3 linked regions of the Drosophila melanogaster genome follow. The main gene of each other region encodes a partner of the protein of the gene in region 3 in a complex. Each region holds a gene or a part of one and is shown on either strand. Other genes may lie near its edges.

Region 1 (9,285 bases), on a different chromosome or scaffold from region 3:
CACATTTGATAACCCATTCGTAGATCTAAGAAATAACGATAAATTTGACTTCCAGCGAATTGTGACCATAACCATTGCCGCATTAAATTATTTTTGCGGTCTGTAAATAAGCCGGGCAAAAAACTAAATCTAAATCGAAATCGAAAACGGCAGGCCGCAAATATTGATAATTTATAAGGCGAGAGCGACCAGTGTTCAAATTATAGATTGTTTATAGATTATCTTAATGTTCGCTGTCGTCTTATTAACGAATTCTGATAATATATAAGTCGCGTATAAGCGTAAATAAATGGCTGATGTTCAAGTGATGTCAGATTGATGTTCACAGATTAAATCGGCGGTTTGAGGGGTGTGAGATAAGGCAGTTTCGAAGGCAGTCGAAGTGAGAGTATGTGTTCCATTGTGATAATAAATAGATTTGCTAGGATGCGAATACTCCAGGCCTATCCCAAGAAGAGGTCGCAACCTTTTGGTGAGTCACGTGGAACATAAGAAAGTACAATCTCTTTATTTTCAATTTTACATATGCAATAATCACCAATATTGCACATTATGTGTGCGTGCATCGCACATTACGTATACGTAGCGAAAACTGAGTCACTCGCTCAGTTCACTTCGGCTTGTCTGCCATTCTGCCATTCTGCCATTCGATGCGTAATGTAAGCACTGTGGGTAACACCCCCGTGGGTTGTTGACACACAGTTGGCTCGGTGGAACTGTGCCAGTAAAATGCTACTGCTACTTTTGTTTTTTCGGTGCTCATGCCACTGATCGTAGCCCAGGGCCACATTCCCGAAGGTAAACAATGCACAAGAGCGATAAGATATTTGTATGTACCTATGTACGTATGAATGTACGTATGAGCCAGCGATCGAGCCCTGAATGACTTCCATTCGGCTTTCAATTGCTCAAGAGCCTCTGGCCAAATGTGACTCGTCGCATTGCGGATACTTCTGGAGATACTTGTGGTATGGAGAACATCAGGGGATTAGTAAGGGCAACTATATATACATATGATGAATAAGATGTTTCATTTTATCCTCTATTTTGTGTGTCCAACTGGTTAATGCGGAAGCGTGTCTATAGCAGTTAAACTACTGGCTGGCAATTAGTTACAGTGATTAGCACAGTTAGAGGTTGGGAATTGCTCAGTGACACAACATGAAAAAGATGTCTTAACCTATAATCATTCTTTACACTATACGAGTATAAGTATAAGATAGTCGCTGAAATATGAATAGTACATATTTGTTGAGAATTAGTTGTTGGAAAAAGAAGAAGCAATTTTAATCTGTTAGAAATGTTAGCTTATTCGAAATATTTGACCTTCTTGGCAGAAAAATAGAAGAATGCGAAAAATAAATTCACGGCCTCCGAACATAATATTTGTGTCATTTACAATTATTTAATAATTATTCATGTTTGCTTGCCGAACAAAGACAAAATATGTACCTATCCATTTCATTTGAGCGCGAAAGCCAACTGTGCAAATGGATTCCATTGCCATTTCGCCGTCTGAACTCAATAACTCGGAACGTGGTCGTCATCAAATGTGGCCAACTTAAATCAAACACAGTTGTTTCAACCAGGCTCTTGTTTTTGCAATGGTTTTCCACGCGAAAAGGCCTAGAAAACGGCGAGCACGAAAGGTTTTTTCAGCTGCGCAGCCAGGCACTTGAAGACTTTCCATGGAAAATTCTCATTGGCGAACGGGGGTAAATATGGCTATGAATTAAAAATGGGAAAGGCAAATAGCTGATGGCGACAAATATGCGTTAAATAATTATTTAGTATTTGCTGCCGCCGCTGTTTATTTGCGAACAAAGGCACTTTGCATGCGCCTGCTGCCAGCTGAAAACTCCAGTCCGCAATTATTCTACGCGCTCGCGTATTTATTTTTTATCATTGATATTCAATTATGGTTATCGCCAATTGCGCTAATTGGCAACGCAGTGAAAAGACACGCGCAAATAAACTTTTATTATTTTCAGGGGGAAGCCAAAGAGGGGTTCCTTGATCGACAGAAAGAGGCTTTCATATACTCAAGCTTATGAATAGCCCCCTCCTGACGATTCGGGTACTTGGTTGTCACATTCACATTGTCACGGTGATACAACTATCTGGGCAGAGGAAACCCTATTTTCCCGCCCGAAATCGTAACGGAAATTAGTTTTGCCAATCAAACGGGAACGCAATAATAGGGAAAACTGCTCTTATGTGAGTGCAGAAAGAGGAATGTAGTGCAGAAGAGATGTTTTAATAAAGATAAGCACTAGCAACCTTTTAAAAAAAAGGAACGATTCAAAGTGTAACTTAAGAAAATCTAATGATATATAGTAGAGTACCCTTGATTTAGCTAGTGAGAAACTTCAATATGTTGTTGGCATATCGATTGAAGTAGCAGACAAAAACAAAATAAATAAAATCCATTTGTCTGTTACACACTTTTCTAGGAATCTAGTAGAATCCACTGACTCCACGGGTGCAGAAACAAGCATTATAAAGTGGAATATTTAGGCTTAGATATATTAAGGTTCGAGTTTCTGGCTTGATCAAAGGAGTTTTGTAGGAGGAAACCCCAAATAAGTTTGGAATTTCAAGTATGGAGCTTTGAAGCACACGCGCCTCCCAAAAAGCCACCACACTTCGGCTGGACTTCAGACTGTCTATATAAATATGCCGAAGCAAAATATATTTATGATTCTAAAACTTGCACTGTACGACAATTGAATTTAAATTGAAATGGGAATGCCGCCAGTATCAGATTCGAACAATCAAAGCAATCTTTTATAAATTGGTATGCAATCGTCGATCCACGCGTTCGCGGATGGATAGCGACGACTAGGCGATGACGCAGCGAAGAATTCTACAATGCCGAAGAGTCAATCTGGAATTAAAGAGTGTGAGTGGCGGAATTATTGAGGCGTATTATTGCGCAGGGGATTTCACTTACCTCTCCATAAGTCGCTGCGAGTGGAGAAACGCCCTTTTGCTGCCGTAAAAGCTCCTGCTTATACCGTTGCTGCCGCTCCACGGGCGACACCTGGCGGTAGGAATCCGCCGAATAATGGGACACCACAATGCCCACGCCCTCTATTAGGGCCAATAGAGCCCCGCCCACCAAGGCACTACTGAGCATGGAGGTTAGTCCTGCCAAAAAGAGGAATAAGCAAAAAAGTAAATATTCGCATATTCGTGCGATAATAGCCATAAAGTTAAGCAGAAAGAAAAACAAGGCAAAAAGGATATAAGGATATAAAAGTCCTGAGAAAGCATTGAAAACCAGCCTGGTTTACTAATTGTTAATGCATTTGTCTGAAAAAAAAAACTTTAAAACTCACCAGTTCTAGCAGCAAGAATGCCCCCGGTGGTTGCTCCACTAATTATGGCGTTCCACGGGTCCTCCTTCTTCCGGAAGTAAACCAGTGAGCAGTCGATGGCGCTGAAGGTAGCGCCCCACACCGCAAAGTTACCACCCACCAGGCCGGATCGAGCCCGTACCGCCGCCAATCCTCCGCTCAATCGGTATCCCAGGCCGGAGGGGGCGTTTCGAAAGCCCTTGATCGCCTGGAAGGCTCCTCCGCCCAAGGCGCCCATTGCGAAGGCTCCACCACAATCCTCGACAATGCGAAAGGGACAAGGCTCCCGACCGTACTCCGCCATGTCAGTTGATTATCGGACTCAGGAGAGTTCAGTCGATAAAATTGATGGGGTGACAGACACACACAGCAGAATAGATGGACAAGTCAAAGCCTCCTTGAGAGCGATTTTCAATTCAAAGTTTCATTAAAAAACTTTTAAAGCAAATAGAAAAAATTACATTTTAAAATTAGAATCAGTAATTAGAAGCACTCGACACGTGTGTTATTCCTTACAAATTACTTATACTTCATACTTTTCCGATTTAATTCTATCGAACACCTAAGGACAAGTCACATGAAAATCGTGACTTCTCGCCAATTGTTTAAAGGCTGATCTAACAAAAAACAAAACAGATCAAAAACCGTTTAAAAAAACATTTAAAATGCGTCGTTTTGCCGTATTTGGACACTCGCTGATCGTCAAGATAATCATTACAAAACGATAGCAATTGCACAACAAAAAGGTTGAATAAAAAAGGCAAACGGGCTGCCAATAAATAAATTGTTATTACCCGGTTATGGTCACAATTCGAGCTGGAAATTTGTAAGTGATAAGGATCGCAACAGATTGCGCTCCGATCGCTACAAGCCCAAATATTCCATTCCCAACCGATTTACAACCACTCTCCCACTTTTCCAGGAGCAAATCGCGCAGCGTGGATCACGGCCTTGCGGCTCCATTCGACTTGGACTCGCTCCGCTCCAAAGTGGAGCAGCGCTTCGAGAGCGTCGACAAATTATCAAGTAAGTCACTATTCAAATAAGTATAATTTAATTAGACAGACTTAAACCGATGGAGAATCTTTGGTTAGGGCAGCAGATGGATGCAGAATTATATGAAAATCATTTTGTATTTCTCAAAACAAATACTTATTTCGGGAAGGATCCTTGCTGAACCCCGGCTTAAGCCCCCTGTATCCACTCACTTTCAATTAAAATAGTTCAATTTAAACTTATATGTAATATGAATGTAAAATTTGTGTAGAACTCGTAGGTTCCTCAAGTCAACGCTAGGGTATTCTGCCGCCAGGTGTCGCTCATGCTCACACTCTATGTAAAATCGATGTATTATTAGAAAAGTGTACATATTGAATCAAATCAGCTAGCAAAAAGGGTGTTTTTTTTTTTAATTCTACAGTATTCCGATTCCGATATATCAGAACAGATTGTACTTTGCGCGTTACATTCAATTTTAGTGCCTAAACCAGAGGCATTCTTAACATAATCATAAAATAATTTTCATTAAAAAAAAAAACATACTTACTTACTGGCATTAGTTTGAAGTTGATTCAGGGAATTGTGCGCCAACCGGGGGGTACCTATAAACAAATTCTTATCGCACCTCCCGTTTGAAAGTGCGCGCCAAAGCTAACAGCGCTGATAGTTGATTACATGTATGAATGTAATTGTGACAGTTCGAGAAAACTGATGAGCCCGCAGTTTTAACGATACAAAAAAACCGTATGATACAGGGCTAGAAATGGTGGAATTGATTGAGATATACTGGCACATGCCAACCAACGAGTTCTCGGTTATCTACCACTGCCGGCAGCAGGTTCCGCCCACAGGTGTGATCTGCTCGCACTTGCGACCCGATGGCGACTCTTTCGAGGTCTTCCAGCAGCGTGCCCCGAAGAAGCACGATCCTCCGAGTAAAGAACTGCGAGCACGTACCTCCAGCGATACGATGCCATTATTAATTATGATTTCTTTTCGTTCCGCAGGGCAAAAGTCTTCATTGCCCACCATACCCACCATTTCCTACACCGTGGGCAATCGCGACACCCTGACCTCCGTGGCCGCCCGGTTCGACACCACGCCCTCGGAGCTGACCCACCTCAACCGGCTGAACAGCTCCTTCATCTATCCGGGCCAGCAGCTGCTGGTGCCGGACAAGAGCGCCAAGGACGACGCCTCCAGCAGCTCCACCCACGACGCGGACGGTGCCAGCCTGTCCGGCAAATCGAGTCCGGTCGAGCGCAAGTTGTCCGGCGACGAGAGCCGCGAGAAAGGTAAGAACGGAAGCCAACCCAGGCGCTGCTCCGTGGAAATGGTGCAATTGGTGCGACGATAGTGAAGCGTTTGCCATCATCGCCGCTTGAGATTTTCATTTTCACGAGCTTTTTACATGCATGTGCCAACATTTTTTGAGAAACTCCGTATTGCGTTCTTCCATCGCTTTTTGGGTCGCATTTACTAGAGAAGTCCAAACATTTGCATACTATCATATATCCAGATGCGCAATTAACTGTACATATCGCTTATTTGATTTTAGTTTTTTTTTTAATTAGTTCTTCTTAATAATGTTTTGTTAGCAACTGCGAAAAGCGGCTATGTTTATTACATTGTAAAAACTAAACTAATTTGGAAAACTATTGAACATTTGAAGCCCTCAAAAATGTTTAGTATATAAATTGATATATAATTGCTATAATTACAAGAAGAAGTTAGTCTCAGGGCTAGCTTTAACTTTAAAGTAACTTTATTCAGCTATTTAATACAGAAAAGGTATGTGCATATGTTAATTGATTAATTTCAGATGGCAAATTAATGTTTGGCCACATTTTGTAATAACTTTAAGATTTTTGGCGCCACTTCTTCCACAAACAGCATTGCAGTTTCATGAATAACCTTACTTTAGACGAGAACTTTTTAGTATATTCCATTACTATGAGGTATATATAAACAACCGAGCTGCGGTCACACTGCTGGCCAATGTTGACTGTTTCATAGAACGTGTTTTTCCGCTGTTTCTCACTTTAAAAAGGCTATAAAATCGAATCGGTCGAGTGCCGAAAGCCACGTACTGAGAGCCGGATAATCCACGACGTAGAGTGCGCCCGGACGTACTCGATATTCTAAGTTTCAGCATGCACACGGCTGTCTTCTGGCGCAATGGAGGTTATTGTTTGATTTTCTACCTTTGTTGTCGCTCCGATCTGTGAAAAAGTGCTAATTGCGGTTGACAAACTCCTGGCCTTGAAGGTCCAGATATTCCGGAAAGTATAACCTTCGGTCAAGCAAGGGTCTCGTTGTCCATGTCCCAGGAAACCGAATCTCGGTTATGGATGATAAAGAAGTTGCACTAATAGATTCAAAAGGCATCATAACTATTGTAGTTTCGAGCTAGAAACTAGAAATTACACTGTTAAATTTAAAACTTACTACCACCCAGTTAGTCGGAACTATTAAAAAGCCCTTTTCGAAAGTCGTATAATGTATAACATTTCTTCCCATCCCATGACCCTATGCAAAAGCTACACCCTTTAGGCAATATCTTTACGACATCACCTTACACGCCGAACTACCTAGGAAAAGCGCTATAATGCCGTTCCCATTCACTGGTCGTAACACCTAGAACAACAAAGGGGGTCACAAGGCGTAGATTTAGTTTAAACTATCCCATATATCAATTTTGCTTTCACAATCTTATCGCGGCCACGGGTGTAGTTGATAAAATCACAGCCCAGCAAAATAGTACCCGAAAATCACTTGCCCCTAATATAATATAATAACTAAATGGCGTTTTTGCAGCCACCTAGCCAGCAAAGATATTAACCAAATGCCGCTCCTTGCAGACATACTCGAGGGCCTGCGCCCCGGATCCCCAAAACCGGGACACATCGAGCGCGTGGGCGGCAGTAGCCAGCAGCAGCAGGCGGAGGAGGAGGCCAACAAAAGCGACGATCCGGTGATCACACAGCGCTTCCTCAAGATCAATGTGCGCCACATCACGGACGGACAGGGCGTGGTGGGCGGCGTCCTGCTGGTCACGCCCAACGCCGTTATGTTCGATCCCAACGTCAGCGATCCCCTGGTCATCGAGCACGGCCCGGAGAGCTACGGCGTCATTGCGCCCATGGAGCTGGTGGTCAACGCCGCCATCTTCCACGACATTGCGCACATGCGAGTGGCCGGAGGAGCAGGTCAGGGCCTGAACTCCGCCTCGGGAGACGCGGAGAAACCGGAAATCTACTATCCCAAACCAGTATTAGTCGAAGAAGACTCCAAGGAGCTACCCGAGCAGCAGTCGCTGCTGGGCGAAGACGGTAATAAGCGCTTAGATGGTAAGTTCCTCGACGGGTCATTCCTGAAATCAAGTTTCTGTAACTCCTACATAAAATCGTTGAAGATGATTAACTGCTTAGCTTGCCTAAGATCGTTCGGAAGCAGAAGTATAGAAACAGTGATAAAATTTCCTTTTTCAGAAGAAATTCGCTTACTAATGCTATTTTCTTATCTAACAACAGCAGAAATAGGGTCGCTGGAAATCGCTGACGACCAAGAGTCGCTTTGCTCCAGCACTGGACGCGATGGCGACGCGTTTCCCAAAGCCTTCGACCGCGAACGTGTGGAGGTAAGTCATTTTTATCATATTACTCCTGTGTCCCAACTTATTGCTCTTTCATTTTCTACAGGACTCTTCTATGGAAGCCAAAGATAGCGCTAAGACTGACGCTCTAGACGATGAAGACAAGAAGGCCGGCCTGGGCCTCTCCAGCACTCGCTCCACCCTCGAGGAGCGGCGCAAGAGTTTGTTGGATCACCACTGGGCCATTCCGAGCAAAGACCGGTTAGTGTTTGCCCAGCTGCCTCACGCTTGTGTTCACACATTCTCCAGGCATTTTTGTTTGTTGATCCATTTTAAGATGTTTTTTCTCACTTCGCAAAAAATGTACATTTTTTGTATAATTGTACTTTTGATTTTTGAAGAACGTATTATAATGTTCGATTTTAAGTAGTTAACATAATGTAAGTAATTTGTTTACCATTCGTATTTTTACCATAAACATTATTATTAGATAATTTGGTTTACCTAATCGAAATGGCAAAGTTTAATCGCGAAATTATAAATTGATTAATTTCATACATCGTATCCATAATACCTTTTGATGGAAATGCGATTTGAATCTGTTTTCTGTTCTGTTCATGATTGCCATAAAACTCATTAATTTGATAACTCAGGACTATAAACGCATTTCTAAATCAATGAAATCGATAGCTATATATAATCGAGAATATATTATCTCAAGTAGACTTCATGAAGTGAAGTGCTTGAAACACAACTGTGTGAACTATTTCATCACTGGAAAGCATTTATAGAAGATAAGACTTTGGCTTGCCAAAGACCACTTTTAATTGTTTTAATAACTGCTGTTTGTTTTTTGCGTTTTTATTTTCATATTTTGACCACGCCACGCCAAAAACCCTACCCATAAATGCAATTTGTGTTTATAAACCAACCGCTTTACACCAAAACTCATAATACCTCACACCCCCAAAAACCACTTGTACATAAATCTGTGTGTGTGCCGCGCCCCAAATATTACTCAGCTATTGTTTGTCTAATTCCCGAAGATCCTCGGAAGATGAGGGCGACAACGAGTCAAACGTTACCGTAGACAGTGGCGCACGAGTCCAGGATCCGCACTCGGCCAATAGTTCGGTCAGCGGCGTGCCGCTTAGCCAGCCCCCTGTGGCTGCTGCTGCAGCTGCCGCTGCCGTCGCACCCGCCTCCGCCGTCGTTCCTCTGCCTCCCTCGGGCATTGATCTGGAGCACTTGGAGCAGCTGTCCAAGCAGTCGTGCTACGACTCGGGCATCGATATCCGCGAGCCCGTTCCCAACGTACAGCCGATACCAAAA
Region 2 (12,928 bases), on a different chromosome or scaffold from region 3:
GTCCGCAATTCGATTGGGAGGTGAGGAAAACGCCGGCTTGGAAATCACTGTCCTTGAAGTGAGTAGTTCACCAAATATTAAGTTTCGCACACATTCAGTGTTCTTTCTTTAGCGAATCCCACAAGGCACTGCTATCCATTCGGTTGGCCACTCGCAAGGCAGAGCAGGCTTTTCAGGAGCGTCAGTACGAACTGCATATGGAGATGATGCGTCAACGGGTCAAATCCGCTCCCCTTCTTCTGGAAGGACCCACGTTCTGGGGTCCAGAAGTGGGCAAGCTCACCCACACCTGCCGGACCGAGGAACTGCGTCATTCGTGCGAGGGGAGCCGGCAACGTAGGAAGAAAAAGTCAGAGTTTCCTGTTCCCGATGCGGATACTAAGCTGCAGCAACTGCGTAAGGTCTATGGCTCAGAAAAGTCCTGTTCGAGGCAGTCTCAACGAAGCAAGCGGTCCGAACGACGGCCGCAGGGGCTCACGACCGAGACGCCCAGCCACGACAGCGGTGACGACCTGTGCAGCGCAGATCGAGCTTTCCTCTAGAGATTCACCTAATTCCCAAGCACATAGTCACAATATATGTATACTTTTTTGGAATGACCTAAGCCTGGGATTTATTGACCGGAACTTTCAGGTTGTGAAGTGGTTTAAAGTCCGGAATCAACTCGAATCCAGTTTTTTGATCGTCTGCTAGGGCGGCGTTTCCAGGACGCTTCAGAATTATGGCTTGCAAGCCCGCACAGCGAGCGGCGGCCGCTTCTAAAATATAATTTCACATTAAAAATGTTACGGATGAGGATTCGTGTGGATCAGCCACTCACCTCCTGGAATATCCGTGAGAAAGAGTATCTGCTTCGGGTCCTCCTTCAATTGCTTGGCAATGTTTTTATAGGACTGCTGTTCCTGTTTGTGGCCCACATGGGTGTCGAAATAAGCACTCAAGTACGGCTGCAGGTTCCCGGCCAAACTATGACCGAATATCAGCTTTTGGGCAGCCACACTGCCGCTGGAGTAGACTGCAATCTGGAGGCCAGCAGCACGCCAAGCCTCAAAAGCTGCAGGGACGTCTTCGTATACACTATAATAACATTTATAGATAATTAATTAATTATCAATAATAATGAGTTGTTGCGTTGTACTTTTGGTTACTATGTTGAATGTTATCTGATAACTATTGAAATCAGCAAAAGTTAAACATTCCCGTGCGGAGAATATAGCTAGCATACATATTTAAAAAATCACCAAGCTGTATAATTGGATCTCAGAAAGACACCCAAATTATTTTTGGGAACAGACGTTAAGTAAGCCTTTTCTTTGATAACCTTCTAGAGTTCAGATTGTAAAACTTATATGGCCATGATAGGAGAATATTGAATGGGGAACTTACTGGCCCTTCAGCTCTCCATTAGCGTAGCCCTGCGCCCAAATCAAGCCCTGCAGCGTTTTCATTGGCGTGACCTTCAGATCCTGATCAATTAAATAGCGCACAAAGCCTGCAATCAGATCTACATCCACTTCCGTAGGTGGACCACTTAACAGGGCCTTGTAGTCCGCATACTGGGGCACTTGCTGTAGATCCTGGACAATACGCTTTATATCATCTTCTTCCCACGAATCCCTCAGGAACTTTTCCACATTCTGCTTGGCGTAGGGAAACAGGACATCGTGCACAAAGCTAATCGAAGTGGTGGTGCCCTCGATGTCCACCAGCACCACTTTGGCCACTCGTTCACTGGACGACATTGCGCTTATTAGTGGGATTAAGTTATCACGAGGAACCAGTTGATTTTCCGCCCAGCATCTGTTTAGTTTTGATAATGGAGATGGCACATCGCGCTATCGACTATCGACTTTAAAATATATATATATAAATGTATTGGAATAGACGATAAGGGTATTTGCCATTCTTAGAGACCTTGCTTAATTGATAAACGATCGACTGAAGTTGTATTAAAGTAATTCTTATGGGGTTAATGGCCGCTTTGAGTTAATTTTCCCAATAGCTTTTTGTTTCCGAATCTTGTGCAATTAAATATTAAAGCTAGTAAATAAAAATAGCGAAATAAAAAGCTTTGATTACCGTTAGTATATAAGTGCCAGTATAAAATAATCACCACTAACGTTGGCTCGTTCAGCTATCGATACCTACTGCCCGCCGGTAATAGTGCTGTACAACGAGTACATGTCAATCGCTGCACGCTAAGTATCGGTCGACGCCCATCGCTATCAAAAAGAAATTTTAGTGCTGAGTTAAGAATTTTTCCCTTTTTTTGCACAGTTTACGCGGTTTTTATAAACAAGGGGCGTAATAGAGCTCAAGGCAGGGTATAAAACAGTCAATAGGGTTAAAAGTTGCAACCCTAAAACGTCTTACAAAAGAGAATACTCGCAGGAAAAACCAACAACAATGCACATATAGCTGCCCGTGCGTCTGTGTGTGTGCGTTGTATGTGCGTTTTTTTTTGTTTATTTGGCAAATTCGGTGGCCTACGTGATTAAAATAAGCACAAACAGTCTTAAGTGAAATGTTGGCTAAAACGCCCGAGTGCCGTAATTCGCATTGATAACAAATAGCCATAATCTGCGAGCGTGTGTGTGTGTGATTGCCTCAGTTGGCGTAGGTGAGGTGGGGTAAAAAAAGCTGGGAGAGCTGTCAAGGTTAAAATCGGTCGTCGCCTTTGGCTCTCCTCTCCCGCAAAATGCAATGAGCAGGGGTCGCGGAAAGGTCAGGGATTCAGCAAGCCATTCCGGCTCCCACTCCGCATCCAAATCGGCCATGGACCCGCCGCGCTGCTCCATCTGCGGCACTCAGCAGCAACTACTGCGCTGCGCCAAGTGCAAGGCCGTCTACTACTGCTCCCCCGCCCACCAGCATCTCCATTGGCCCGACCACCGCACCGAGTGCCGCCTCCTGACCCGCCAAAAGCTCAACAGCAGCAACAACAATAAGCAGCAGCAGCGGCAGCAGATCCAGCAACTGCAACAAGCTGTGGCATCTGCCAATCTGGAATGCAGCGGCGCCGGCGCCAACTGCTCCACCGCCCAGATGATGACGCCTGCCCACCAGGCGCAGAGTTGGCCCGCCGAGGTAGACAACCTGCTGAATCTCCTCGGGCAGCCGGGCAGCCAGGAGAAGGCTGCAGCTGCGGAAACGGAAACAGGTCAAAGGCAGCAGCAGCACCAGCATCATCACCATAATGGCGAAAAGAGCTCCAGCTATCAAATCGGTCTGGCGGATGCCAGCTTCATGGGATCAGGAAGGTAGGTCGTCAGTGGACAGGTCAGATGTTTCAGTTTCAACAGTTTTATGCTAAAACATAAGTTAAAAATGTATAATACTATAATACTGCTCATGGTGGCACGCTAGAAGAGATATATTTTTCTTAGAAGCTCTTTTGAGCCTGCATAGTGCCATAGTATTTTATTAGATGCAATCAAATATCAGCTGATCTTTTATTGAAGATGGAAAAATATTCTCCATGAGATAGAAAATCATTCCTTGTACCTACTGGGCTTTTAAAAATAATATAAGATTAACGCTGAATATCGAATTAACACTTAATTTGGAAGAAGCATGGGAGGTTGACTTAAAACCTTAAAAGCTTTTCTATCAGACAATTTCGGCCAGCTTTACCAGATCGACCAACGAGTGCATTGGCTTCATCAGTTGCCCCAGTTCCTTACCCTCCACTGCGTCCGAACGCATAGGCTGCTGCATCTTGTTGTGTGCCCTGTATGCCCGACATTCATCCAACACCCGCTCTAACTCCGCCCCAGTTAGGTTCGAATCAGCAACGGATGTCTCCCACTGGGGTCTCTGCATTTGCTGGTCAACAGTGATTAGGGACTCCTCTGCTTTGACTCCTCCATCCGATGCATAAATCGTAGCCACTGCTGCTCCAGCTCCTTCGAGCATGGCTAAAACGAGGCAGCCCACAAAGGCACTGTTGGCCATGGCTCGAATTCCATTCCGGGCGGCTAAAATTCCGCCAGTGGCCGCTCCGCTGACAATCGCGTTCCAGGAATCCTCCCTCTGGCGGTACGAGACCATGACGCAGTCCACCGTGCTGAAGGTGGCGCCCCAAATGGCAAAGCTGCCGGCTATGGCCGGTGTCCGCAACCTCACCGATTCTATACCGCCGTGCAAGCCACGTCGAAGACCGGACGGAGCGTTTCGGAATCCCTTGAGGTACTGAAACAACGATCCTCCCATGGTGCCCATCATAAAGGCGCACCCGCAATCCTCTACAATCCTGATGGGACACGGCTGGCGATTGTACTCCATGTTCGGGTGATGTACTGACCAAAAGAATCCGTAATTAATTCAAAACTTGATTTGTAGTGAACTTTCCTTGTTTTGCGAATATGTGCTATCAGCTTTTGACCAATATGGCCTTTGATTAAAAACGTGTGTTTATAGATTATACATAACTTTGAGAATGTTGCCTTACGACTTTTACGTCCGTTCTAACTAGATACAAATATTTACCAATGGTCCTACAAACGAAATATACAGTTTGTCAAGAAACTGTTTACACACTGTGAAATAAGTTGAATTTTTGACTTTAAAGCTAAAAATTAAAGGTTTTTTGCTTAATTAAACGCATTTTTTTTATAAAATATAATTAAACAATATTTATTTTACTTATAAATCAAAAAACAAATTAAAAATATTAAATATACAAGAAAAAAAACAACAAATTCCAAGTTTAAACACTTTTGAGACTGTCAAGAAACTCTTTACACAAAACACTAAATCGATGTTTAATCCTAAATTTTTAAATTATTTTATTAAAATTTTAAAAGTTTTGGTATGTAGTATGTTCCCCATTGGCTTTAGCTACAAGTTGAAGCCCTTTTTTCATGGATTGGACAAGTTTTTGCAGGTCATATTCAAACGGGATCTTTTCACACTCTTCGACTATTACAGTCATAAGCTGTTGTTGTGTTTTAGGTTCCTTTTTGCCACCTTCTTCTTTAAGTAGGTCCACAAATTTTCAATGGGGTTCAGATCAGGACTCTGAGGGGGCGTATCGATCACTTTACCACAGTTATAAGGGCGCCAGGTGCGTACATTGCACTCTTTATGTTTCTGATCATGTCCTCTTAAAATATAAAATTTGGCTTGTTGTTGCTAACTAGATCAAATTTTTCTGCACTGGCCTTCAAATTTGTTTTTTAAAATTCCTAGATATTGCACGGCAATTATTGTGCCCTCAATTAAGGCTAGTTTTCCCACTCTACGGCTGGTGATACAGCCCCAAACCAACAGTGACATTTTTCCAAATTTTATCGTTGGAATGATATTTTGTTTTTCTAGCGCACTCAACGGTTTGCGCCATACTCTGCTTGGCCCGTCGTTATAAAAGAGCATCATTTTTGTTTCGTCACCAAATATGACGTCATCCCAGTACTCTTCCGCATGATCCATCATGCTCACTGCGAATAAATGACGCTTTTCAATATTGGCATCTGATAGCAAAGGGTTTTTCCTTGCAACTCTTGAAGAGTACCTATGGCGTAGGATGACTTGGCGCACAGTTTCGTGTGACACAGCTAGGTGACATTCTTGCCTGATATCTAGAGCAAGTGATCTGACCGAGATTCGGGGGTTCGCAATCACTATTCGCATAATAAAGCAGTCTACACGCTTTTTAATTTTAATTTTCCGCCCACCACCACTCTTAGGTTCAAGCCTGCCCTCTTTTTCCGAGCCTTTTAAAACATTGTAGACGGTCTTACGGGATACAGGAAACATTTATACTAATTCTGGAAAAGATTTTTCCAACTGGTGGTTATAGTTTATTAATTGGGTAACTTCAAAAGTTAATCTCTTTCCAGGCATTTTATTAAATTTAATAATTCGCTTTAAGCACGTTTGATCAGCAAAATTTCACAAGCAAAGTCAACAAATTTCAATAGAAGCGTTGTAAAAAGCAATGCAAAGCCAAAAATAACGGAAAAATCGAGTTCGTTCTAAGAAAAAGAACAAAACAAAGTAGGAAAACAAAATGTGTAAAGAGTTTCTTGACAGTCTTAAAAGTGTGTAAACTTGGAATTCGTTGTTTATTTTCTTGTATATTTAATATTTTGAATTTGTTTTTTGATTTATAAATAAAATAAATATTGTTTAATTATATTATTTAAAAAAATTTCGTTTAATTAAGCAAAAAACCCTTAATTTTTAGCTTTAAAGTCAAAAATTCAACTTATTTCACAGTGTGTAAACAGTTTCTTGACAACGTACATAGATCGAGCAAAAACTTGTACAAGAAAAATGCCACTCAGATATTGATGAGTTATTTTCAATATCTTATTGAAAACATCCAAATGACTCGGTAGAATAGATTTTCTACGTTTTGGTGCAAGCTTATCTTGAATTTGATTAGCCATGATTTCACCTGATAACTAGTTATTAAATGTAACTGAACCAAGCACCGCGATTAGCTAGCCGACCGCACACTTGAAGTTGCGTTTGCAGTTTGTCCCGGAGCGAAATCTATAGCCCCAAATATACCCCACTAGGTGCATCCTCCTGCTCGTAGCCCCCTATCGTCTTCACTTGCACATCAAGTCAATTACGATAAGCGGTTACGTGCCCACTCCTGAGAAGCCTCACGAATCAACAGCAGAACATGACACAGCTGATGACATATCGCTCATATGGCGCTGAAGTTTATGGTTTTCGCGATCCTCAAGCTTCTTCGCAGCTGATTTATTGGTTGTTGATATACAGCTTATACTAGTTACCTCGCAAAAGGTCCTATAACACAAATCAAAACATTGAATAGCACTGCTAGATCATCTTAGATCGCTTGGGTGAATTAGTATAATTGTATTAGCCAAACCATGGCTCATTTTGGAACTGCTGCTGTTAAAGTATACACAAATCATATGATATAATATTACAGGTGTTCAAGGTAAAGCTTCCAATCCAATGGGGAACCAGGAAAGGACTCTTTAGGAGACAAACACTTGGTGTTGGTTTTAGATTGATGTCTGCACGTACTACATAGGCTGTCCGATATTCTCAGACGTAAAAGTTTAAAAATAGAAACAGTTTGTTTTCCCATTCAACTCATCGCATTGTCAGATGAGATTCGTAATTGCCCTGCGATTTGACTGTCTCCGGATTGCTAACATTCTGCTCCGAGATGGCACCTCTCGAGTCGAGTATTTATTTACCTTCGGCATTACGTGCCCGGCCGCATAGTGTATATGGCACCCATGCCCGATCTGATAGCACCTGCAATCGCAGCCGGACTCGCATTCTTCCGGGCGGAGGTGCTGACTTTGTAATTATTCTGTTGCGCAGTTTGTTGCGTCCAAATCTTTAATACTCGCTTATTTATTTTGCTTTGCACCCCGGCATTAACGAATACAACAAACATGAACCGCACACATCGGAGCACATATAGAAATTTGTTCGTAATTTTATCTTTCAGCCAATCCGGCTGAGTCATCATCAACCCCACACTGTGCAGTAAATTATTTTGTGTTCCTGGATGTGCAGTTGTAGCTAATAAGTGCAACATATGAACTAATTCAGATAACTTCCCACCCGATAGTTATGATATTTTCTTTTTACTTGGATACACAAATAAAAGCCTTCATTTTTCTATGTTACTGTTGCAAATCGATTTTGTCAGGTGCAGTATTTTCTACCTTCTTATCGCCCGAAGTGGGTGGGTGGTCCGTTCGGCCGGGAGGTCCGGAGCGTTTTGCCTACGTGCCGGGAATACGCAAGCGTATCGTTCAAATCGTGTTATCAGAGTTTAGCGAATGCCTTAGCTCCGAGATTTCAATCTGCGGCGGGATGTGTTGTTCTTTATCAAACAATTAGCGCAGTCGGACCGACGTGATCTCATTTCCAGGGGCTTGCAAAATTCCGTCATTGTTTAGAAATGTGCTAAAATACATGTGTCAAGCAACTTGCTGGGAAAAACAAACAATACGGTTGCGCAAAACTCGATGAACAGAAAAAGTCGAAAAAACCGCATCTTGTCGCCACCGAATTCCAATTTGAATCAGCAATATTGATAGGAAAAGTCAATATGGAATCAATCCATTCGCGGATAGTTTGCTCTGCTACTTTTTGATTTGCCTAAGATTCAGCCAGAATGCATTCACCTTAGCGTTGCTCACCTCATTTTTTTTCATTTCCGAACTTGAATGTCTAAATGTAGTTTTGAAAGCAGAGAAAGTGCTTTCCAGTTTAAATCAAATAAAGTTTATTTAGATCGAATATCTTGCGATGTGAACTATGCAACCATTGGAAACATTAGAAATATAAAACTATTGCAATGGTATTTAGTTTAAAAATATTCGTAAATTTCCTAGGGATTTCCTTAAAGGTTCCCCTTTTCTATTTATGTTATCCACTTCCAATTGGGTGTAAACCCATGTCTGTGGTCTCCTTCAGCTGTGTGATGGATTCCCAGTGATGGATCTCGAACCCAGTGCGAGCCCGAGCGAGCTACGTAGGCAGACGCACGTCACCAAGGTCGACTGCCACTCAGTGCGTGTGCGTCGCCACGCCCCTCTCCCAGGTGCTTCTCCGCCCACCAAAAGGGCTGCGAGTTGGTGTGGTACACGTGCCGCAGTCGCCGTTGTCGCACGTAATACATCACAGACAAAAAGGGCGCCAATCGATCATTACAATGTACACGAAAACGTGTTTGCACTAAAAGAAATCAGTTCAGTTTAGTGGCCATTTTGCTTCGAAACTGGGTTGTGTGGGACTTATTATTATTGTTAGCCCAAGGGTATTACCAAATAATAAATAATGTATAGACAGGACAGAAGATAGAATAATCTTTATTCCTATTCCATAAGATACTTTTGATATTTTTCGTTACCAATTTTATGACTGATTTATTTATTATATATATATATTATATTATTATATATATTATATATCTTGGTTACAGAATGTTGGGCAGATTTCTGGGATATTTCTTTATTTTAATGGCGCTTTAAAAGGTCTCCCCGATTTCTCTGCGTGCACGTTGTTTGGCGGCGACTTTGAACTGGGCCGTTGACCCAATTCTTTGGTTCGCACATTCGCCTAGCTTCCGCGTGCTTCCGCCGTTCTGTGCCTCATCTTCGTTAGTGTTTCTTAAGCATTTTTAGCAGATATTTGTATCAAACATTTTAAATATCTACATTATCGCTGACCTTCTCACACTCCCTTCGCTGGCGACCATCTCTTTCTGACTCACTTGGCTCTCGCATTAACGCCTGTGCGTGTGGCTTCTTTGCGTTTGTATGGGTCGCTCGCATGTGCGTGTGCCAATTGCGCATTGGTGTGTGTGCTGGGCTACGTGACGATTGTTGCGCTTGTCTTTCTGCCTTACTGTTTGCCTCCGCTTTTCCCCGCTTTTACGTTTGCAATTGGTTTGGCTTGGCAGAGAGTGTTTAAACTCTCTTGAAGGGCAAGCGGAACGAGTAGCTTCCTCCCGCTTTCTGGAACCTTGCGGGGTATCCGATCCCATAAATTGCACGTTCAGTTCGGTTTTTCGCTATCTGCAGCTGCCTTTTACCTTTTACCAATATGTACGTATTTTTCATTATTTGCTCTCACCTACCAAGGTGCTGCTTATCGCCTTAAGCGGCTGCTTCTCCTTCGATTATTTAGCTGCTTCCCAGGCCCCCAACTTTCTGATTTACTCGTAGTTTCATGGACGCTCTGAGATAGTGATGAACGGATTTGGGAGGCGGACAGAAAATAGCTAGAAAAATTTGGTTACAGCAAACGAACTACAATTTGTAGTCCAAACTAAACCTTTTCTACGATCTTGATGTTATCGTATTAAACGATTGTATTCCGAATCCGGGATAGACGTACAGTTCACCTTAGCCAATTTTGAACTGGGGTTTAAATGCCTCAAGTATTGCTCGTAGATGTCCATTTAATTTATAAACGTTAACACATGTTCGACTAACACACCAGAATTCGAGCACTCATAATCTAGTTTTTGGCCATAAAATAGCTAGATTGTTTTCACCTGCTCTTAAAACGCTCTGCCTCTCTCTCCTTCGTAACCAACGGTAAAGAGCGAGAGCGACCTGCTCAGCTGCCGCATTCGGAAAACGAACGGCGACGAGTGCGGTTCGGTTCAGCTGCTTCACATTTCACTTAAATTAGTTAACCGAAGCTGAGTAATACACAAACGTGACTAACTGTGCATAAACAAAGTCAAATCAAAACAAACATCTGCCAGTGAAACAAAGCGAAAAGTGAAATATATAGGCAGCCGGCCCCAACAAATGCAAACTGCAATAATACGTACCTCCCCACCAACACATTTGCACCTATATACCATATAATATAACCGCCGGTGTACGTATAACTCGCACTCTTTCCCTCTAAAATTCGAGGCTCCCCTTCGCATAAAACTCGCTGCAAATTATAAACTCCCTTCAGTTGCACGTGAAATTCTGGAGGAGTCGTTTGAGAACCCGTCATCTCCCAAGAACAGTAATTAACCAATTCAGGGTATCTAAAAAAGGATCCTGAAACAATTCAAATGCCAAGAACTTAATTCACCCTTTCTCTGCACAACAACAACTAATAACTCTGTGGAGATACAAAGATAGGACTTCAGTCTTAAAGCTGTCTCAAGAGTAATAGAGTTCTTGTGATAACAGTGAGAAGCAAGCTGACTAATCAAGGCAAAATGATAACCTCCACGACCACGGACTACAAAAACTTTTTTAAACACTCGGCACATCCTGCCAATGCTGAGCAGTACTTTCGGGAACTTTTGGACAAGCGGTAATGATATTTTAATTACTGAATTAAAGTTCCTAAGGAACAAATGTAAAATGAGGCTATAATTAAGGAAACCTCCTAAGGAGAGAATTAAGAGTGTCCACATGACAGTGAAGGATATAAATATTTATTGCCCTTAGGTATCTAATCTAATTTCCCCGAATTAACTTTAAGTTTCAATTTTAAAAAGAGTTTTTAAGCTAAGGGGCTTTTGAAAACGATGTTGCTATTACAATACAAATCTCATTCTACTTTTTAAAATTCCTTTAAACTTTTTCAACAATGAACATCATTTTAGGTGTTGGATTCGTTTTTTTAGAATAGTTGTTTCTCGGGCTGAGTATTAACTATTTTCTCTTCTGGATTTCACACCTCTTATAATCTGTTAATTATGGTTTGCATTAACTTGGGCTATGCGAATGTCAATAAAACCGGTTAACAGTTTTGGTTTGTGGTCGTCAATGTCGTCTTTCGTGTATCGTAATATTTAGACAGCCGCTGATTTTGAATTCGTATATTAATGTGTTGGCGGTAGCGAATTTGCTTTCCTGCGTTGCGTGCAGATAGTTCTCCCCATCCCATTCTGGGAATTCGATCAACAGCGTGGCACGTTTCAGTAATATTTGTATTTTTGCGACAACCATTTGACTTTATGACTTTGAATGGCGCATGTGAACTTGTGCGAAATGTTTCATCTCTGTTTCATATTTTTCGCAATGTGTTGCTTTGCGTTGCTTATCCGGAATTTCGCGATCATCTGGGCCAGTTGAGTTCTGGGTGGCCTACGTGACTGGGAACCACCGACATGTATGAAAATATTTGTTTTATGGGCGCATCATAAAAAAGTCGTAAAATTGTATGCATCGCAGTACCCGTTGCTCAAACGCCTGTAAAAAAGCTTAAGCGCAATCGAACTTTTGTGCTAAAAATAGCAAGGAAAAGCGTGAACATTAATTAGATGCAGGGGTTTCCCCAAGGTGACCTCACTCACATCGGTATCTCTAATTCAGTTACAGATTAACGGTCTTGAAAGGTCTATATACTTTTTCTCTTCGTCTCTCTACTAAAAGGGAACGTAATTAACATAAGATCTTTGTTTCCCTTCTGATTTTCCGCAGTGAGCGCCGCTATGAGGATCTGTGCCGTAACATCATCAGCGACATGAACCAGTATGGTCTGTCCGTGGTGGACGACTTCCTGGGGATGGAGACGGGCCTGAAGATCCTCAACGAGGTTCGAAGCATGTACAACGCAGGAGCCTTCCAGGATGGCCAAGTGGTGACCAACCAGACGCCCGATGCACCCGCGGTGCGCGGTGACAAGATCCGAGGCGATAAGATCAAGTGGGTTGGTGGCAATGAGCCGGGCTGCAGCAATGTCTGGTATCTGACCAATCAGGTGAGCAACGTACAAAAGAAATACTTTTATGGTCCCTAAACTACTTGCTTACTTAAGTTAAGAAGTATAATCTAATTTTACCTTTCAGATTGACTCTGTGGTGTATCGTGTTAACACGATGAAGGATAATGGCATCTTGGGCAACTACCACATCAGGGAGCGCACGAGGGTAAGCATATGCTGTGAAAATACCTTTGAGATTATGCTAAAATATGATTCCTTAATCTTAGGCAATGGTCGCTTGTTATCCGGGATCGGGAACTCACTACGTCATGCATGTGGACAATCCCCAAAAGGATGGCCGCGTTATAACGGCCATATACTACCTGAATATCAACTGGGATGCGCGGGAAAGTGGCGGCATTCTGCGGTAGGTGTAATAAATATACCTGTGATATGAAAATCAACCTAACTTTAATCAACAAACAGAATTCGGCCAACACCCGGAACCACAGTGGCGGATATTGAGCCCAAGTTTGATCGCCTGATATTCTTCTGGTCTGACATTCGGAATCCCCACGAAGTGCAGCCCGCTCACCGTACCCGCTATGCCATCACCGTCTGGTACTTCGATGCCAAGGAACGCGAGGAGGCCCTCATTAGGGCCAAGCTGGAAAACAGCAAGACGAACAATCTGGCAGCTCAAGCCCAAGCCCAACAGGCTGAACCAGACTCCACCACCACACCACCCGCAGCACCAGCTTCATCCGCATCCAGTCTGCCGGTTAGCATGTCCACGGGAACGGGAGCGCTGAAC
Region 3 (9,862 bases):
TGTTGCTAGCGCGGCGGTTCGCTGCCCCTCCGAACATGTTGGTCCAACATGTTGCCTGGGGGCGTCTGCTGGAGTCTTCTTTTCGTGTTTTGTTTTGCTTGCCTGTTCGTCACCAGCCCCCCCAGTGTCCGTGCATTCGGGCGGGAGGTGGGGAGACGCTTGGCGAGGTCGTGGTCGGGGTCGACAGAGTGCGGCGGAGTCCAGCTTGCTTTCCGCTTCGGCCGAGCTCCCGAGCTCACAGCTTGGGGTTGTGGTTATTTTACTGTTGCCATTCCCTTTCGGTCTGCCCGTGATGGAGGACGCCTGCTCACGCCCCTCTGGCGCAGGGGCGGCGGGAGACGGAGAATCATCATCCTCGGCAGAGTGCTCCTTTTCGTTGTCAAAGGCGCCTTTGCGATTTTCGTTAGTTGCCGCCCGTGTGAATGTCGCCATGTGGGATGGACTCTGTAAAAAATCGTTTAATTGAAATCTTATTCATGTTTATTTCAACTCGGCCCCTTTTCATTATCAATGCTCCCCGTCCAATTATTTCTAACAACTATTAATCTATGTTCAGGCTGTAACTGAGTTGGCAAATTTCGGTGTTCTGTACTTTTAAAAGTTCGTCTTTCAAACAAATGTAGGCTTTGGAAAATCGATTTTACAAATAGCCAAAATTTGAAGTAATAAAAATAATATATATCTACAATAGTAATTTGTATTAATTGTCATAGCTACTAGTCGGGCTACTCAAATAAGGGCTTGTATTTCACATTACACGATTCCAAAATTCTGCTACCAATAGCAAAGCACTCACCATTTTCGATATATCACTGGTATTCGAGGGCAAGATACCACCGCCAGAATCCTCGCTGCGTGCATCATAGAAGACGTCGTTGTCGTCAGTCTCCACTGCACCTGCATCAGTGGCTCCAATTGGGGCTTCCGTCATTGGATTCGGTGGTCCGCTGAGACTTTTTTTCTGAGTTTTATTGGAATTATCGTCAGCCGTAAGATCGTTAGTGTCGTACTCCAAGCTTCGTGACTTAGTATCGTCTCGAAAACCCTCCATATTGGCCTTTAGCTCCTGGAGGTCGGAATATGTAGCGGGGGAAGGCGGAGGTGGAGCCGGAATGTCTTTCCTGCGTAGGCTGGAACAGGGAGCGTTTGTATTTGTCTTCGATGCGCCTGTGCGATGGTGTCGTTTGCCGGACGGAGGCAGCGGCAACTGATCTTCAGGTGCAACCTTCTTTTCGGGAGCCTCTGATCTAGTTTTTTGCGTCAGCTTCGGGCTTTGTAAGCTGGCCGCTGTTATGTTCCTGCTGTTCTTCTTCGGAATGGTGCCCGTGGTAGACGCAACGAGCCTGTCCAAGGAAGGATACTCTCTCCGGACAGTTGGTTGACTTTTTCGCTTACTAGGCGTGGGATCTTCTATGAATAATTCCAGGGTTATTTACAATGCTATACAATAGAATCCCACATCGGTTGTACTTACTTGCGACGGTAGTCTCCGGCAAAGGAGTCGGTGTCTGGAGACTGGTCCTTGGTGCAGGTGTCGGCTTTACGCCGGCAGAAAGCCGACTCCTGCTTAGCGGAAGAGTAGTTACTAATCTAGTTTCCTGTGAGGCGGCCCGCTTGGGACTTGCTTTGACATTGCTTTTTGTGCTGCCGCCAGCTCTTGGACCACTCCTTGAGGACTCCAAGCTATTGTTTCTCTTCATTTCCGACTGGTAAATGCTACGTTTTACGTCGTTAACATGCTTAAAGAAATCTTGGGCGTACTTGTTCTGTTTTAGGTCTGCGTACTGCTGCTGCTCCATCGACGCTGGTGGGGCTTCCAATCGCTCAACTTGATCGTCTTGTGCGCTTGATGGCAGTGTCCCTGCTGCAGTTTTTCGCGGGATTCCGCTGCTTCCTCCTCGCGCTATTGATCCGTAAACATCATCAAAGTCTGAGCTAAAGTAATTTGACGAGCAGTCGCAGTTTCGGCACTCGAACCGGCAGTTGTCCGAGTAGCTGCACTTATCGGGAGCCATCATAGACCCTCCAGTCGCAGTACTCATTCCAATGACGCCATCCAGACTGCAGCGTCTACAATCGTATCCGAACCTGCCTTCCGAGCTTCCAAAGTACCGCCTTTGGCCAGAGTTTGAGTACACTGAAAACAGACTGGAATCACTGACGCGCCCGCCATGTCGCCGATGAGGATGCCGAGCGTAGCGTTGCGAGTTGTCGCTGCTGCGAAGGGAGAACTCGCTCAGAATTGATGCCTTTGAGTCGCTCTTGTACATCTGCGGATCGTAGGGATCCACCAGTATCTGGGATCCTCCAATGGGTCTATTGGCAGCATACATAAGCGGATGCAGTGGCTGCGTCCCACTGACCGCATAGTAAAGATCCCCAGTGGCAGGAGCTGCTAGCACATTTGCCTCCAGTCGCGCCATGGTATTATATTTGTGATAGGGAAGCGAGTCGCTCGAGGACGAGGACTTCGTGTTAAAGCGCTGTAAGGAAGCCGCACCTGCGGACATACCTCCTCCGTTCTGATATCCCACTATAAAGTGCTGCTGGGGTCGCCGAGGCGGCGTGGCGGACCCTTGAGTGGCCCCCGTAACCTGGGCCAAGAGCAGACTGCCACCCACGGCGTAGTGATTTGGCAGCTGGCTGTTAACAGTTGGCGAGTGGTATGGCCTCTGGTTCGCATGGGGCAGGTAGTATCCACCATAAATCTGGGGTTCACTTGGCGTGGTGGTAGCTGAGGTCGATGTAGTAGCAGAAGACTGCTGAAATTGTAGAATCGGGTTGTAGTCTCCTGTTATGGCCACTGGAGTCGTCTCAATTTTGTAAACGCCTGGATTATTTGGGTTGTACGACTGGAACTCTAGTATATGGGCGGTCGGCACCTCGACCACCGGAGCACTAGGCCGCGAATCCATAGTGTGGTTTTTCCTATGTCCTTGGTTGAGGTACTGCTCTTCCTGTGTTTGCCCCGCCTTCAGTTTTTTACTTGCTACTTGTTCAACGTGGGCCAAGCAATATTCACAGTTTTCCTTGCTGCATTGCTCCATACAAAACTCGCAGTCTGCAAATGCGGGATTGGTGGCGCCTATTCCATGCGGCTGAGCTCCTTTTTCCAGGCTGTGCGTCTCTTGATCACACATTGTCAGGGCAACGGGCATCGCCATGCCGGTGGCTACTCCTGTTGCCGACGAGCTCACCGCGTTGGCCGTGTCCTTAAAGAAGATCTCCTCGTAGATGTTTTCCTCGCTGCGGCAATGTCGTTTTTCGGCCTTCAGAGGTGACTCCACACTGCCACTGCCAGCTGGGGTTCGCTGTTGGTCCACTAGTTTTTTCGAGCTCTTTAAGCCCTCCTTTAGCAGATAGTAGTTAAAGCTTTTAATTCCAATCTCGCCGCGCAGGAACCGTTTGCCGATAGCAACTTTCGCCGCGTCGGCGGCTGATTCTGCTGGTAAGGTGCAGGCGGAACTCTGAGCGGAACCGCGAGCAGAGTACCCGTCATCTAACTCACTGACCTCGGTCGGGACACCACCATCCGGACCCATCTCGCCGTAGGGCTTCCGATTTCGCTCTTTGCGGGCTCGTGTGTCAGCATCGTGACCGACCTTAGCTACAGCTACCGCCTCCCGCTTCGGATGTCCTGCGGGCTGATGGCGATTGTTGTCTAAGCTAAGATTCCGCTTTTGTTTCGAGGTGCGCTTCTGAGTTCCCTTCTTTTCGGCCCTTTCGGAGCCTGTGGCGGCCAGATTGCGCTCTAGGCTGCGCACCCTGCGGTTCATACCACCTTTGGTTTGGATTGGTTCCTGGACCTCGTTGTCGGTGCTGCTCGAATCACATTCGTAGTTTATGCTGATGGCGGTGCTACCGGAAGCTATTGTGGCTGTGTGGTGTTGTTTGATCTTGGCCTGCTTCCCTGACACATACTGATGCAGCTCCTGGGGCAGCTGGTTTTTGGCCAGTAGGCTGCTGGATGATGCCTGACCGCCCGTATCTGACCTCGTCTTGTGTTCCAAGAAGGATTTCCCAGAAATGCTACTGCGACGCATGGGATTCGCCAAGTGGCTTATGTCCTCTGTGTAGGCAGGATCATCATAGATCCTGTCGCGCACGGATGTGGCTGATCGGTCTTTGGTCTGAAAACAAACAGCGCTTTAAGATCTAGTTGCTCAAATGTTCTTTCCCTCTCACAACTCGCAACTCACCTTAACTTTGTTTTTCTTCCGACTTCGATGTGGTATCGTCACATCTGTCAATTTTAATAGCTTTGGTCGCAGTGACCTCTTCGACACCTTGCCCCTCTCATAATTCAGATCCAAAAAGGTTTCAGTTGCCATTATTTATAGATTACATGCAAATCTAGAAAATAAGATTTTAAATGGCCAATTTGGCTGAAATCTGCAGATAGTGCAGTGCCATGTGTGACTTAACTACAGCACTTAATTCAAAGTGTGTCATGCATTCTAAATACATTGGTTATCAGTCATTCCATAAAATATGTACATGTGGGCTCTCATCTGTATCTTTATTGTTATGATTGTGGGTCATTTCCCCCTGCGAGTGAGTGATAGCATAGTCACTTTAGGGTGTGGCAGTGAAGGATACGCAGTCAATGCATTTAGTCTAAAGCTTCCCATCGGCAATTTCCACATGGTTTGTTGAGCATACATATGCATAACATATGCATAGGTAACCAAAAAAAACACAAATAGGAGCAAATAGGCAAAATATGTGGGTCGGGTGGGTCCACTACAATTTTATTAGTTTAACTGCACACGCACCTGCTCATTGTCTGTGGCAAGAAAGCGGAATCCTTGGGGCATTAAAACACGGCTTGAGAGTAGATATCCATCCCACTAGCATTGAAGTTTCAAGTTAAGTGTGTCACGAATCTGGCCAAAAGCTGGCGAAGTTATTAACTGCCTTGCGTTTAGGTCATAGTTGCAATATTTTGCCACTTATTCCCAATCGTAAGCATTCAAACCTATATACACACACTGCTCGGCGTTCTATTGTATCTTCCAAGTGCCCTATTGCGTGCAGTGGGACTTTATCTGTACAACTGGGGCGAGAAGCGATATTCAAACCTTCCGTCCATTACGTTAAAGCCGAACTGAATTGTCTGCGCTCGCGATTCCTGCGGCTTGTGCGCTCCTGAATGGGAAAGTTGCTTTCCTTTCAGTTGCCCCATGCCCAGATTGCTCCGACAACAGCTTACAAGGATGCTGAGCCAAAGAGATTGCAGGATGCCGATGTGGGAGAGTACCAGACAAAGTGCCAAATGAACCAACGCCTGCGCCCTGGCTCGCCAGTTTGACGTCCGCAGTATACTTCCACCACCGAATTGTTGTGTGTTTTCAACATAAGGAGAAGAGGCCCAGCCAGCCACGAACCCTCAGCCAGAATCAAAATCTGCATCGAAAGTAACTAGACGGAAGGCTTACAGTACACCTGATCCCTTTACTTACTTATGCCAACATTCGGATGAATGTTCGCAGGGACGATACTGCGCATGACTCACCTAGTGGTGTGAAGTGCGTAGTTGTTGATTGTGGAAACATTCCCTCAAGAGTACACATGTGTCGTAGTTATTTTGGCACGTGCTCACGCACACCATCACATGGCAGCAACATGTTGCTGAGCTTGCGTGCTCGTGCTGGACTGAGGATTTCTGGAAGCCTGCATTCATATAAAACCGTAACACAACATTTTTCACAACATTACGGCTATGTATCCGCCTAGTGGCTGCACTGTTACCTTCAAGGAAGCATTGACGTTCCGCAGGGCAGTCTGCTTTAAATGCCAAATCAGAAATCATATGTTTTCAGACTTTTTCAATCAGAATACGCAAAAAACTGCAAAAGTAACTGCTGTTAGTAGGTAGACATTGAAGAATGCTAGGAAAGTTTTAATGTAATTTTTTGGGTGAATTAACAGTATTTAAGGGACACATCAAACGCACAATCTTTTTAATGATTTATGAAGCCACGGGTCCAGTTCTTGACAACGGGCCTAGACTTGCTAGTTTTTTCTACCTCCTCGGCGTGCATTAGCTCACCCAGCTTTCGCTGGTTTTCTCTGAACTGGGATAACGAGTCACTAAACTGATTGTAGTATTGCAGCACTTCTCGGACATCGTCGATCTCACTCGTTCCTAGAACACTAAGAAACGACGTGAGTTCAAAGAGGGTAGTGTCATTGTCGTTTCCAGACCACCGCGGGATCGAGAATGAATTCGAAGGGTGAAACTTGGTGGAATTTCTATCCCAGTCCACGACAACCACTCGCTTTAGGTCTCGGTTGAGGTTGTCAAGGTTCTTCACGTGGTGCCCTCCATCAAAGTGCGTAGAGTCGCGAACCAGGCGATACATAATACAGCCGTTCGGATCAAGCGCGTCGACCAGCGGGAACACAGTAACTCCTTGCTCCGCCGTGTAAACAACAATCTCAAAATACTTGGCACATTCTTTCAAAAACACGTCAACGCCAGGGCGCTTCTTGAAGCGCCATCCTGTTTCGTAGGTCCAATCGGGATGTACCAGCACATCCTTAATCTCAAGTACCAAAGTATACGGCGGCTGCACGTAGGGGGGCTGAAGGGGATCAGGAAGCAGCTTTTTTCTCGACGGCTCTTTGAAAAACCGTTGAAAGCGGTTCACCGACTTCCATGTCCGCCACATAAGCTGCTGCATCTGTGGCAGACAACTAAATTCGTCGATTACTTCATTTCCGTGCTCATCCAAGGACGGCCTTCCATAGAAATATATAGCCCAAAACGAGAACAACATGCTACCTATGCCGAAAAGCCCAAAGCCCAGTTTCATCCGCCTAAATGCCCGCTCCAATTCCTTCTGCTCCTCCTCCTCCTCAAGTTTCCGCCGCTCACGACTTTCCTCGTCGTTGGACTCCTCAGAGGTTTGTGGAAAGAGCTTCGTTAAAATTTGCGTAGACGTCTTCTCGTACGTCGAGTAGCGTCGGTGGCCAACGTATACGACGGATGCATTGCTGAGGTTCACACGGAGTCCAAAGCACGAACAGCGCCCAAGCTCCATTCCGGGTTTTCCAACATCTCCGCCTTTACGGGGCTGCTTGACCAGTGCCCGCCGCAAGCCGGAGGTCAGCGACCGCGACGTTACAATAAGTTTGCGGCAAATCTTGGGCCAGCCACATAACACCCTTTCAATGGCTATTAAAGACATTGGTAACTTGAAGATTTGCCTCGAAAGATCGATCAATTTAAAGGGGGCTTGCAGTTAAGTAAAGAAACACTATTAAATTTAACATCTTTATATTACCAAGCCGAGTTAGAGGTAACGTTTTCTTTTGTGTAATGTTAATTAAATTTTGTCGCAGACGGTTATTTTACTGTCGCGTCTAATATTAAATAAAAACTCAGAGCCAACTAACAGTTCTATCAATGCTCTTTGATTACTCAATAACAGGTCTCATTTTGTGCAGGTTTTCGCGGTATTGGGGTTTGTGAAAGCCTTGTTTCAAGAATTTCTAAAAGAGTGCTTTCATTTAGCCCTAAGAAGGCCAATTCTTTATTGTTGTTCAAGTAGTCCGTACGGGCTAGCATTTAAAAATCGCTTATTTAATATTAAAAATGTTGCTTCCGTATACGTATAAAATAAATAATTTTCATTATCAAGACGAAATGTGACTGGCTCCTGTAAACAGAGAATTTGGATCAAACTTTTCACAAAGGGGTCAAATTCACCACTTTTACCCTTATCCTTTTGCTTTTGCTCTTTTGTTCGACGACTCTGGCCGTGTTGTTTTCCTCCACTGGAATTGCCATTTGCTTTACACTTCTTGCTGACGGTACGCACAGGATTGCAGTTTTGATCACTACCGCCAGTTGCCTCTGGTTCCAACTTATCCTCTCTGGTTATTTGTCCTCCGACGCATTGAGACCATTCACCCTTTTCATAGCGGCAGCCTACCGAAGGAAGTACGCAAAATTTCAAATTAATTTTGGAAAGTATTTGCTATTATGAAGGATGCACTCGCTGCATTGTTAGGAACAGGAACTGCAGTATTTCCTAGGAAACGAAACGAAGCTGTGGCGGGGAGAACCTCGAAGTGGGTCGAAGAGAGCACAATCCTCCCCAGAAGGAAGCATTCTTGTATATGGGTCAACAAGAGTGATTTTTGCATTTTGTGACCTTTGGACCCATTAAGCCGGCAATGACACCGCCTTGCTCTTTTATGGGAATGCCCGATTCTACTACGTTCCCCTTTTGGGGAGGCGCTGTGTAGGATTATGATACATATAGAAGTTACCGCGCGCACCTTTCTTGCACTTCTTTTGTATGGTCCGCGTGGGCAAGCAGTTTTGCTCTCCTTTCCTTAGGGACAGGACTCGTGAACGCATGTTGGTCTTGTGATCACAATTGGACCAAGCGCTCTTTGCGTATCGGCAAGTCGATCCTGTTAACAAGCAAATATAAGACTTTGCATTTAAAAACTATTTGAATTCTGACGTGGCAGTCCTAAGGCTTACCATTCTCTGGAGTCGCTGCCTTAGGCCCTTTCCTATTTCCTCCATGATGTTGGCTATGTCCTCGCTGCTGCTTGGATCCCCCTCCTCGTTGTTGCTTATCAGTGTTCTTGTGGCCTTGCTTGTGATTTGGTTGTGGTAGTTGTGATGACAGTGCCCCGCCATTTTCCGCAACCACTAGTTTTCTAGATCCCGACTTGTGGGCCCCAACCTGCTGAGAGTGCTCTTGAGGCTTGTTCGGCTTACGATTGTTCCTGGTGCGGTGGGTGTCACTATTTGTTGTGGATGCGACTGTTTCGGCCTCCAGTGTGCCCCGAGCTGGACGAATGTGTACCACATCGCCCGACCTCTTTTCCATGACCAGACGTATGCCATCAGAAAGGCTTTCGCCACGAGTTGATAGCGGATTGTGCGCCAATACCACCAAAACTAGGTGCAGAGCCGTGGTTAAAGCCAGTATAAGATTCATAACTATTTCGGAAACCTAAAAACAATAAAGTCATGAAAATAAAATATAATTAAAAATATATGCTTTAAAGCCGAGCTGTAAAACAAACAAGAATGCATTGCTTTATTTTTCTTTAAGACTTTGGTTCAAAGCAGTAACCTATTCAGTACCTACACTTGTCACATAAATACCTACACCGTCTAGTTTGTGCAAAAATGAACTCCAAGAATCCGGCGCTATGCAAGTTTGATATATTTAAAAAAGAAGATGGCAAAAATGGAGATCAGATTTGTGACCACTCTTGGGGTTGCTTTGACGCGAGCTCTAAAAGCGTATATTCGAGTGTTAACGTGAAAAGCGCCTCCTATGGTGATGGGGACAGTGGGCTATCGAACCTAACTGAAGAACGTACTTCCGAAAGGCCAAACAAGCTGCCCTTTGGATGGGAAGAGCGCATAGCTCACAGTACCAAGGAGTGCTATTTCTACGACACAATTACCAGAAAGGTACACTTCACACTGCCTCCAAGCCACCACCGAGAAAAGGATAGGAATGCCTGGGGCGCCATTCTTGGAGACTACTCTGACTTCAATGACCAGCTCCGCTGCAGACACATCCTGGTGAAGCACAGCGAATCGGACAGGTGTAGTTCATATCGCGAACGGATGGTAAGGAGAACTAAGCAGGAAGCGCTAAATAAGATCATGCATGCGAGGGATCTAATTCAATCAGGCAAATTTGAGTTTGCTGAATTGGCAAATATGATCTCCGATTGCTGCTCTGCCCGGCATGGCGGTGACTTGGGCCCCTTGAGTCTTACACAAACGCCTTTCGTCTTTGAGAGAAACATTTTGTTGCTGAAAGATGGCGAACTATCTGAGATTTTTCAGACGAAAGCAGGTTATCACATCTTGTTG

Evidence for each region.
Region 1: ttm2 (region 3) and Tim17b1 share a complex: the UniProt entries of both Drosophila melanogaster proteins name them as parts of the TIM23 complex.
Region 2: ttm2 (region 3) and Tim17a2 share a complex: the UniProt entries of both Drosophila melanogaster proteins name them as parts of the TIM23 complex.

The regions. Positions count from the first base shown.
Region 1 is NT_033777.3:5,294,570-5,303,854, reverse strand, and holds Tim17b1 (Tim17b1), read right to left. Parts: upstream 3,711-9,285; 5' UTR 3,664-3,710; coding exon 3,342-3,663; intron 3,151-3,341; coding exon 2,954-3,150; intron 2,888-2,953; coding exon 2,867-2,887; 3' UTR 2,669-2,866; downstream 1-2,668. Other genes in the region: mtd (mustard), read left to right, coding at 4,282-4,385, 5,366-5,653, 7,220-7,708, 7,892-7,998, 8,060-8,214, 9,000-9,285. UniProt on the Drosophila melanogaster protein: Essential component of the TIM23 complex, a complex that mediates the translocation of transit peptide-containing proteins across the mitochondrial inner membrane.
Region 2 is NT_033777.3:5,254,862-5,267,789, forward strand, and holds Tim17a2 (Tim17a2), read right to left. Parts: upstream 7,832-12,928; 5' UTR 7,665-7,831; intron 4,299-7,664; 5' UTR 4,285-4,298; coding exon 3,610-4,284; 3' UTR 3,475-3,609; downstream 1-3,474. Other genes in the region: CG1113 (uncharacterized protein), read left to right, coding at 1-58, 113-542; Enoph (Enolase-phosphatase), read right to left, coding at 601-758, 821-1,077, 1,387-1,742; Hph (HIF prolyl hydroxylase), read left to right, coding at 2,704-3,260, 11,892-12,171, 12,260-12,340, 12,402-12,541, 12,601-12,928. UniProt on the Drosophila melanogaster protein: Essential component of the TIM23 complex, a complex that mediates the translocation of transit peptide-containing proteins across the mitochondrial inner membrane.
Region 3 is NT_037436.4:272,669-282,530, reverse strand, and holds ttm2 (tiny tim 2), read right to left. Parts: upstream 7,377-9,862; 5' UTR 7,194-7,376; coding exon 5,964-7,193; 3' UTR 5,864-5,963; downstream 1-5,863. Other genes in the region: RhoGEF3 (Rho guanine nucleotide exchange factor 3), read right to left, coding at 1-444, 797-1,410, 1,475-4,130, 4,200-4,331; miple2 (midkine and pleiotrophin 2), read right to left, coding at 7,642-7,664, 7,724-7,936, 8,281-8,427, 8,501-8,966; CG32845 (uncharacterized protein), read left to right, coding at 9,161-9,862. UniProt on the Drosophila melanogaster protein: Essential component of the TIM23 complex, a complex that mediates the translocation of transit peptide-containing proteins across the mitochondrial inner membrane.